Coturnix japonica: one gene and its partner. The protein of the gene in region 1 purifies or fractionates together with the protein of each later gene. This does not show direct contact. Links are inferred from orthologs where the notes say so. Each region holds a gene or a part of one and is shown on either strand. Other genes may lie near its edges.

The links.
Region 2: the proteins of CAND1 (region 1) and DCUN1D3 purify together in Homo sapiens (affinity purification with western blotting; 3 studies listed by BioGRID, with this or other methods). This does not show direct contact. The link is inferred for Coturnix japonica from reciprocal best matches to the Homo sapiens genes CAND1 and DCUN1D3.

What each region holds. Positions count from the first base shown.
Region 1 is NC_029516.1:31,596,563-31,600,371, forward strand, and holds part of CAND1 (cullin-associated NEDD8-dissociated protein 1), read left to right. Parts: intron 1-860; coding exon 861-1,015; intron 1,016-2,296; coding exon 2,297-2,420; intron 2,421-2,832; coding exon 2,833-3,089; intron 3,090-3,170; coding exon 3,171-3,276; intron 3,277-3,739; coding exon 3,740-3,809. UniProt on the Homo sapiens protein: Key assembly factor of SCF (SKP1-CUL1-F-box protein) E3 ubiquitin ligase complexes that promotes the exchange of the substrate-recognition F-box subunit in SCF complexes, thereby playing a key role in the cellular repertoire of SCF complexes.
Region 2 is NC_029529.1:12,709,116-12,713,678, reverse strand, and holds the start of DCUN1D3 (DCN1-like protein 3), read left to right. Parts: upstream 1-1,613; 5' UTR 1,614-1,719; exon of another isoform or gene 1,720-1,994; intron 1,995-2,000; exon of another isoform or gene 2,001-2,121; intron 2,122-2,204; exon of another isoform or gene 2,205-2,291; intron 2,292-2,725; exon of another isoform or gene 2,726-2,976; intron 2,977-4,563. Other genes in the region: LYRM1 (LYR motif-containing protein 1), read right to left, coding at 1-76, 612-704, 1,158-1,406. UniProt on the Homo sapiens protein: Contributes to the neddylation of all cullins by transferring NEDD8 from N-terminally acetylated NEDD8-conjugating E2s enzyme to different cullin C-terminal domain-RBX complexes and may play a role in the cell cycle progression by regulating the SCF ubiquitin E3 ligase complex, after UV damage.

The DNA of each region.
Region 1 (3,809 bases):
GAAGTGGAAGACTTGCTTGCTAGTGTTAGAACGAAATAGAGGCAGAATAAGGCACTGATTTTTTGCATAACTTCCTGTCTGGAACAGGGTGTTTACAAGGGAGAGGCACTGAAAGTTGGCAGTAGGGTTAGGAAGATGATGAAGGGTACTGTATTTCTTAGCAATGAAGTAGATTTCACTGCAACTTTCTGCAGCTTCAGTGTTTTGAACAAAGGGAAGCGTACGATAAAGGAAACAAAATTGTCATCATCCTTGAAATATTTGAGATGGCTGAACATTAACCTTACGGTGACATTTTCACTCTTTCCCCCAAGTGCTGTGTTTATAAGGGTCTCTGAATGAAGACTTGCCATGTTTCTGTTTTATATTTCACTGCTGTATTCTATTAAGGCATTTTATGGCGTAGAATGAACATGTCAAAAAGAACCCAAGTGTTTTGTAGAATAAAGAATGAAGTTGTGGTAGTAAAGAGGTTTGCTTACTTGTCTGAACTTTGTAGTACATAGACTGATGTCTTTGGCTAGGTAGTTTTGTAAGCCTTGGTATTAAGTGTGATGAAGTAAGAGGGGCTCAGGTTTTGGAATGGTGAAGCACAGCACTCATACAAAACTGTTTCCATCACTAGACTAAAAAAAACCAAACAAACAGATGCACTAAATCTGTATTTTGTCACTAGATCTAAGGAGGTAGGTTATCAGCCTGACCAGCTAAGAGCTGTCAGGTGTAAAACATTTGCTTTGTGTTGCTACTAAAACCAATCTTAACTTTGTGACTTCATATAAGATACAGAAATAAAAATGAAGGATTTGGATGTTTTTATTTATCATTGCAAATGTATTACCTTTCTTCTCTTTATACAGCCTCGGCCCGTTGGTGAGCAAAGTGAAGGAGTATCAAGTGGAGACCATTGTAGATACACTCTGTACAAACATGCTTTCAGATAAAGAACAGTTACGTGACATTTCAAGCATTGGCCTTAAAACTGTGATTGGAGAACTCCCCCCAGCTTCCAGTGGTAAGGTGTTTTGTATTCAAGACGTTCTTTTAGTTCTGTGGCGGTACTTTGGAATCCTGCTGGTTTAAAAAACTTAAGTTTCCAACACTGATGCGACATTTCAGGAGAAAAATCTTGTGTTACAGGAACGCTGGAGTAACAAATTGAGCATAAAATCTTCTATTTTAATAATCATCTGGTGGAACATTTCTGGGCTGTACTCATAACAAAACCTCTTCTTGCTTTTTGGTTGATAGAACACTCATAAATTAAATTAAAATTTGCATATTTTTCTTTAACAATTCAGTTTCTTACCTCAGTTTAGATAAGTGTTTTGGAATGTACCTAATGTTTCTAACAAGTTGCTGTTAAGTTACTGAAATGCTGAATTGTAGTTTTAAATGAAGACGGTCCACTCCAGAAGAGATGCTAATGTTGAACAGCTCTTCAGTTAGTATTATTACCTTTTTACTCAAGTTGATTTCAGATATTGTATGTAGGGTATGAATGAGAAGAGAAAGCTGATTAAGAGGGCTTTGAAAATGCAGCTTTTAGAGACTGAAGTTGCTTAAATAAAAACAAACAATACAGGCATGCTCGGACTTTGACATCCTTTACTGAAAGTCCACAAATAAATAATCACGTGTTAATCAGGTAGTAATAAGATGCATAAACTTAAAAATAAATATTTAAAATGTAGATTAGAATGGCATTAATTTCACATCTACATTCCAAAAATGTGACTTTAAAGAAAACAACAAAAAACCTTCCGTGTATGTTGGGGAAAACTGTGCAGGTGTAGCAAAGACGTTTTAACTTGAATTTTAAAGCACGTATAATGTTTATTTTAGCAGCCTCTCAAGTAGACTTAAATAGCTCCTTGTGTGAAGTGGCTGTACCTTGTTTTGTTTTTTTTGTCAAGAGTCACCATCTACTTCTGTGCTTCTTTTAGTTACTTTATTTTTGTTTGTAGTCCTTCCATTTATTGCTCTAAGCTTATTTTGGCCTTTGCTTTCCATTACTTGACCTGCCAAAAGCAGTATCTTTTTTGTTACGTACAACTTATAAAACTGAACCCTCCTACTCAGAATGTTTTTGGGTATATAGGTAGTCTTTCAGCTCTAATGCAGAGCATAATACTTTACATGAGCAAAGAAACTTGCTGTTCAAACTTGTTTTATTGGGTGGGAAAGCTGATTCATGTTAAATGCTAGTTGCTTCCCATAGTTACAGGCACGACCTCTTGTGTTAATAACTGTATTTTCTTATTATGGAAATGCTGAGGTCTTATTGTATTTTCAGGTTCTGCATTAGCAGCTAATGTTTGCAAAAAGATCACAGGGCGTCTCACTAGTGCTATAGCCAAGCAGGAAGATGTGTCTGTTCAATTGGAGGCACTAGATATCATGGCTGATATGCTGAGCAGGTAAACATCCTTCTTCCAAAATGCTGATGAATGCCAGTAAATACTCCTTTAACTTCCTAATTTTCAAAATATTAAATAAAATTTACTTTAAATGAAGTAACATGGCAAGATGTTAAGTGTAAATGAAACCTTAGTTCAAACCAGATAATGGGATGTATTAAAGATAAGTTAATTGAGAAGACTGATAATTTGTTTCTTTTTCTGGTAACTGTAGTTTTAAGTTACTTTTCAATGTTTATTGCTTTGAAGGTGTATTTTAAACTTGTTTCTTGTTTTTTAAAGTTCCAAAACTTTAAAAACTTAATTGGAATCTCTGTGGTGTTTTGGGAATATTTTAAGAAATTCTGGTAGAATATATGAACAAAGTTATCTAGATTCAATTGGTTTGAGTTTGTGTTTTGTCTGTTTTAAGGCAAGGAGGACTGCTTGTTAACTTCCATCCTTCAATTCTGACCTGTCTGCTCCCCCAGCTGACTAGCCCCAGACTTGCTGTGAGGAAAAGAACCATCATTGCTCTTGGTCACCTGGTTATGAGTTGTGGCAATATGGTTTTTGTTGACCTCATTGAACATCTGTTGACAGAGCTGTCTAAAAATGATTCCATGTCAACAACTAGGACCTATATACAGTGTATTGCTGCTATCAGTAGGCAAGCAGGTCATAGAATAGGTAAGAAAAATATATAAATTATCTGTTACGGGGAAGGTTCTTTAGATGAGAGTAATTACTTTGCTAATATTCTCTTGTCAGGTGAATATCTTGAGAAAATAATTCCTTTGGTTGTAAAGTTTTGTAATGTAGACGATGATGAACTACGGGAGTATTGCATTCAAGCATTTGAATCCTTTGTTAGGAGGTAAGTAATTCTCAGGCATTTATTTTGAGTTATCTTAAGATCTAGTAGTCTCCTTGGTATACAATAGTTTTGCAAGATTTGAACTGAAATTGTTTCTGTAATGTAATGTTATACCTTAACTGTTAAGCAGTGGGATTATGTTTGGATGTCATAAACTCTGCTGTGCCAGTGCTGCTAATAAATACAGAAATGAGGAAGTATTCTAATAATTATTGTTGTCTTATAGTGGTGAGGAAAATAAATTATATCCAAAGGCATGTCTTGCTCTTCTGCAGTATTCCAGTCTAGTAGATTGGGTTGCATATTGGCATTGTCCTTTCTGAATTACAGATGGATGCATTTGATAGTACTTGGCTTAGCTATGATGTCTTCAGTGTACTTTATGTAGCATTAAGTCTTTTAGGCAGAAATATTTTAATTCTCATAGGTAATCAGACTTTCTTTTTGTCTTTGTACTGTGCAGATGTCCTAAAGAAGTTTATCCTCATGTATCTACTATTATAAATATTTGTCTTAAATATCTCACCTATGAT
Region 2 (4,563 bases), on another chromosome or scaffold:
AAATCTTCCTCAGCTTTTCCTGATGTCGGAACGTACGGCCTTGTTTCTGGGCAAGGCCCAAGGGAGGCAGATGGATCTGGAATAGAAAATCCCAAGTCAGGTGCAAATAAAGATGCTACAAAGAAAAAAAAAAAAAAAAAAAAGAAGCATATACAGACAATTTTATTGAGTTTCAATCACTCGTTCACTCATTGGAGAGGGCAACCATGCTGTCTGAAGCCAGGTTATTAGATTTCTGTGCAAAGAACTCTCTGAAGAGCAATTAGTGGAGCGACTCTGCAGCCTTAAACATCAGGTTTAAGAAAACCCTGCATACTTGAGGTTTTGTTAATTCTGGTCTGCAATCTGAAATCAGATTGTGACGATAACATTGTTGAAATATGCCTGTAAGCAGTATTCCAGAACAGCAAGACACAGAAATCCTGTTAAGGTCCCAAGCTGAAGTCTTAAAGCAGCGTGCTGATGATTTTTTCAGAGCTCACCTGGCTCTGATTTAGCAGAGCACCTGAGCAGAGGTGAGATGTGTGGCACAACGACAGTAGAATGGATCTATGATTTGAGTGTCAGATGGGAGCTAATAAGGTGCACCTGTGGGGAACAGACATACTCACGGGTCTCGGGTAGGGGATGTTGTAGTGAAGTCCAATTTCTATTCTTGCCTCACATTCTTCTATGCACTGCTTAATCAGCTTCGGATCTGTCACCTAAGATAACAGAGAGCTAAAAATAAATATTTTGCACAAGTACAAAAATCAGCATTTCAAGATTCAAGCTTTTTTTTCCCTTCCTTTTGCAGTTCCAAGGATACAATGATGGTGTTTTTCACATCTGCACTGCTGAGCTCTATGGCTCTGAGTAGCAGCGCCCAGAGGCTATCAGAATTGTGAGAGCAGAGAGTGCTCTTCGAGGTGACGTGCCTGGCCTTCCACAGGAGTTTATGGAGACCTCAGAGGGTTTGAATTTTCTTACAGATTTTGACCCCTGAAATAATAAGCTGTAACTCAAATATGCCTTAGAATGTGTTTGTACTGGCATTTATGGGGAAGGAATTTTGGGAAATCATTTCTTATTTCCATACCTTGGCATCCACCCACTGGGGGTGAGCAAAGCACAGTGAAAGGGGTCAGAAATTCAAACCTGCAATGACGCTCACTCACATCTTTGTTTTTTCGGAACAACGTTTTGGCTTCTTTTATAATGTACTCCCTCTCTGCAGCAGTTTGTTCCACCTGTCCTGATGCCGACTGCCATTTCTTGGCTATCCGGAATATCTTGCGGTAAAGGCCCAGCACCTCTTGTCGTGTGACTGCTGTCATCTGAAACAGACCAACCCCACAAGAGCCCCAGTTTGTGTGAACGACCACCACGTGTACTGCTTTTAAACACAATTCAATGCTTAAGAGCATCTCCACCACCTAAAGAATGAACTGAAATAGCTGCTGAAACCAGAAGACCCAGCCAGCAAAGTATTGGCACTGAGACTTAAATCTGCCCCATGCAAGCAGCCCGAGCTCCTGCTGCAAGTCAAGCACTCGATGCAGTGCTCTGCTGAATGAGAACCAGCTCAGGACCGGCCGTGCTTTCTGTCACTGCTGTTTTGCAACACGCAGCGTTGGGCGAGTCACCGAAACTCGGAGGAGTCTCCGCTGTGTTGTAACAGCGCTGCCCCGTCTGTGCTGTGTGTCCAGACCTGGAATCACGCACACGATGACAGCACTGGTGGGTGGTGGTGGGTGATGGTGGGTGATGGTGGGTGATGGTGGGTGATGGTGGGTGATGGTGGGTGGACTGCGGTACCGGTGCCAGGTGCCGAGCAGCTCGTTGGCCGTGCGATGATTCCGAGGTGCTGACTGTGAGCGAGGGGGGTCCTGAGCGCCCCGGTCGTTGTGGCGCCGTCTGCCCGCTGAGCCCGCACCAAGAGCCGGCGTCAGAAACGAGGCCCGAAATGCCGCTGTTGTGTGTACGGTGCGATCTGCCCCTGCCGCCCGGGCCGGCCTTACCCGCAGCGGCGGAACCAGCGCCGACCTCCCGCCCGCAGCGCCCGCGGCACCTCCGGGCACAGGCTCCCTCCAGGCCGCGCTCTCAGCCCCGCACCGTGCCGTGCCGTGCCGTGCCGTGCCTCGGTCCCGTGCCGTGTCCTTTCGTGCCTCTCCCCGCCCCGCTGCTCCCGTTCTTCCCCGCCCTGTGCCCTCCCGGTTCGTGCTGCGCCGGTCGCGCCGCGTGACGTCACGGCGCCAGCTGACTGCTGGCCCGGAAGTGATGCGGAGGGACGCAGCCTCGCCGGGATCGCGGTGAGTGCCCCGCGGGGCCGTGCCGAGCTGTGCCGTACCGAACCGAACCGTACCGTGCTGTGTCGTGCCTCGGTCCCGTGCCGTGCCGTGCCGTGCTGTACCGTACCGTGCTGTGCCGCCCCCGGGGACGCGGCGGGCCGGGCCGGGCGTCAGCCCCGTGCGTGTCCCTCGGCCGCCGCTGCCGCCTTCCCCTGCCGGCGGCCCGTCCCTTCAGCCCCTCGAGCTGCAGCCGCCGCTGGGCCCGGCCCGGAGCCGCGTTGCGGGGCGGCCCGTCCGTCCGTGCGGAGCTGCAGCCCCGGAGCCGCAGCACGAGCCGTGGGTCGGGCGGGGCCGGGCGCCGCTGGGGGCTGCCGCCATCCGTCCGAGCCGCCCCCGGCGGTGGCCGCTCCGCTCGGGCGGTCTCCGCACGCGGCCCCGGCGCTGCAGGTGAGTGGCCGGCGGACTGAGGGAAAGCCGGGCTGAATGCAAGGAAGCGCCTGGATCGGCCCAGGAGCCGGTTCTGCGCCGTCCGAACGCACCCGCTGCGGGTTCCGTTCTCCCTTCGGCTCTCGGTGCCGCTCTGAGCACGTTACCGGGCCGTGCCCGCAGTGCTGCCCCGGCCCCTGGGCCTGCAGCCGCGCGGCTCCAGGGGAGCGTTGCTGGGAAGCAGAGACAGTGCTGGAAAAAGCCTTTTATTTCTTACACTGTAAGTAGTTAATGGTGCTATCCTTCAAAGTGTTTCTTTGATAACTGATGAGTGGGAGCCCAGCTACTCACATACAGCACTGATCCACAGCTGTAACTTCACTTTAAATGATACCATCCATAGTATAGTTTGAAGGGAGGGCAGGCAAAGTGCTCAGAAGGGCCGAGCTGTGGCCCCAAAGTGCAGAACTGGCTTGTGGTTCCTGAAATGTCTGTCAGGCCTTTGTATCAGACTCCAGTCCTTGTGTGTTCTTTCTTTTTTGGGGGAGCCATTGGTCAAAAGGCGTCTCTTGTAGGCACACACTGCTCATATGCCCGAGAACCTCTTTGCTAAACAGTTGATGTGTGACTGAGATCTTACTGTTTTCTTTGGGCTGGCAATGGAAAGAGGGAATGTCTGAGGGCTGCTGTTCTTTGAGTGCTTCTGAACTCTGCTGCATGTTTTCCTGCTCTGAGGAGTTCCTCTGAAGGACAAACAGATACGTGTGAGCATGGAGAGGTCTGGCTTTACCTTCTTGTCAGTTCTAGGGTTCGTCTTAAACCTTACACCTCCTCTGCACACGTGCTAATGGTGTGTGGGAAGGCCTTGTAGCCCTTTTAGTGACAGGCAACGCGCAGCCTGAAGCAAAGACTCTGCACATCAGCAGAAAAAGAACTTGTGATCTGTGTGGAATTAGTTCATGCCTGCAGAACCGGCATCATGAATTTGCTGCATCTTCTCTTGGAAGGATTTCTGAAATTCTGATTGTTTTCTAAAATCAAGTTTTATACCAGCACAAATTAGGATAATCCTTAAATAATTTGGCAAAACTATTAACAGAAGAGTACACAGCTCAATGTGATACTTTGAAACCACTTTCTTCTTGAGACTGATCACCTGTGATATAATTCGTTATCTGCTGAGTTAGATGCCTTCCCTGCTGCTCCCTTACTGTGTTTTTGAGTTGCACATTGCCATGTTCATAGAAAATTTTGCCTCACTTGTTCTTATTGATCTTGGAAATTCGTTGGTAATTATGTCTTCTATTTTGCATGGATAATACAAAAGGAAATCAGATGAATTGAAAGGCTGATTTTTGAGGCAAAACCCAGAAGAGCTATTTTGGAAGTCATTAGTTAAAATTAGATAAAGAGCTCTGTACTGAGGAAGGGAAGCTACCAAACAGTTTGACTGACTTCTAGCACAAAGGGGTTTGTTGTGGTGGATTTGCATGTGGATGAAGGTGAGGCTCCATTCCACCAATTTCTTTGCTTCTACTTGAGGACCATGTAGAAAATCGTATATGTTCTGTGGATGTGTGCTGGGCAGGGCAATGTAAGGTAGGGAGGAATGGCAGTGGAAGAAAAAGGAATAGAAATGACTACTCTAAACCTTCAGACGTTGTGAAGTTAGATTTGCTCATGGCAGAAAATGATGAGTTTGGATATGGACAGATGTATGCCTGCGAGTCAGCAGGAAAGTGAGTATCCCAGTACTGCTCAGAAGTGCCCCATGCTGATGTAGAACCTTGGGGCACTGCAGACACGCCCTGGGGCCTTGGCTGTTTGTGTGCAAAGTTGTAAGATGCAGGAGCGCTGTCTTTGTTCC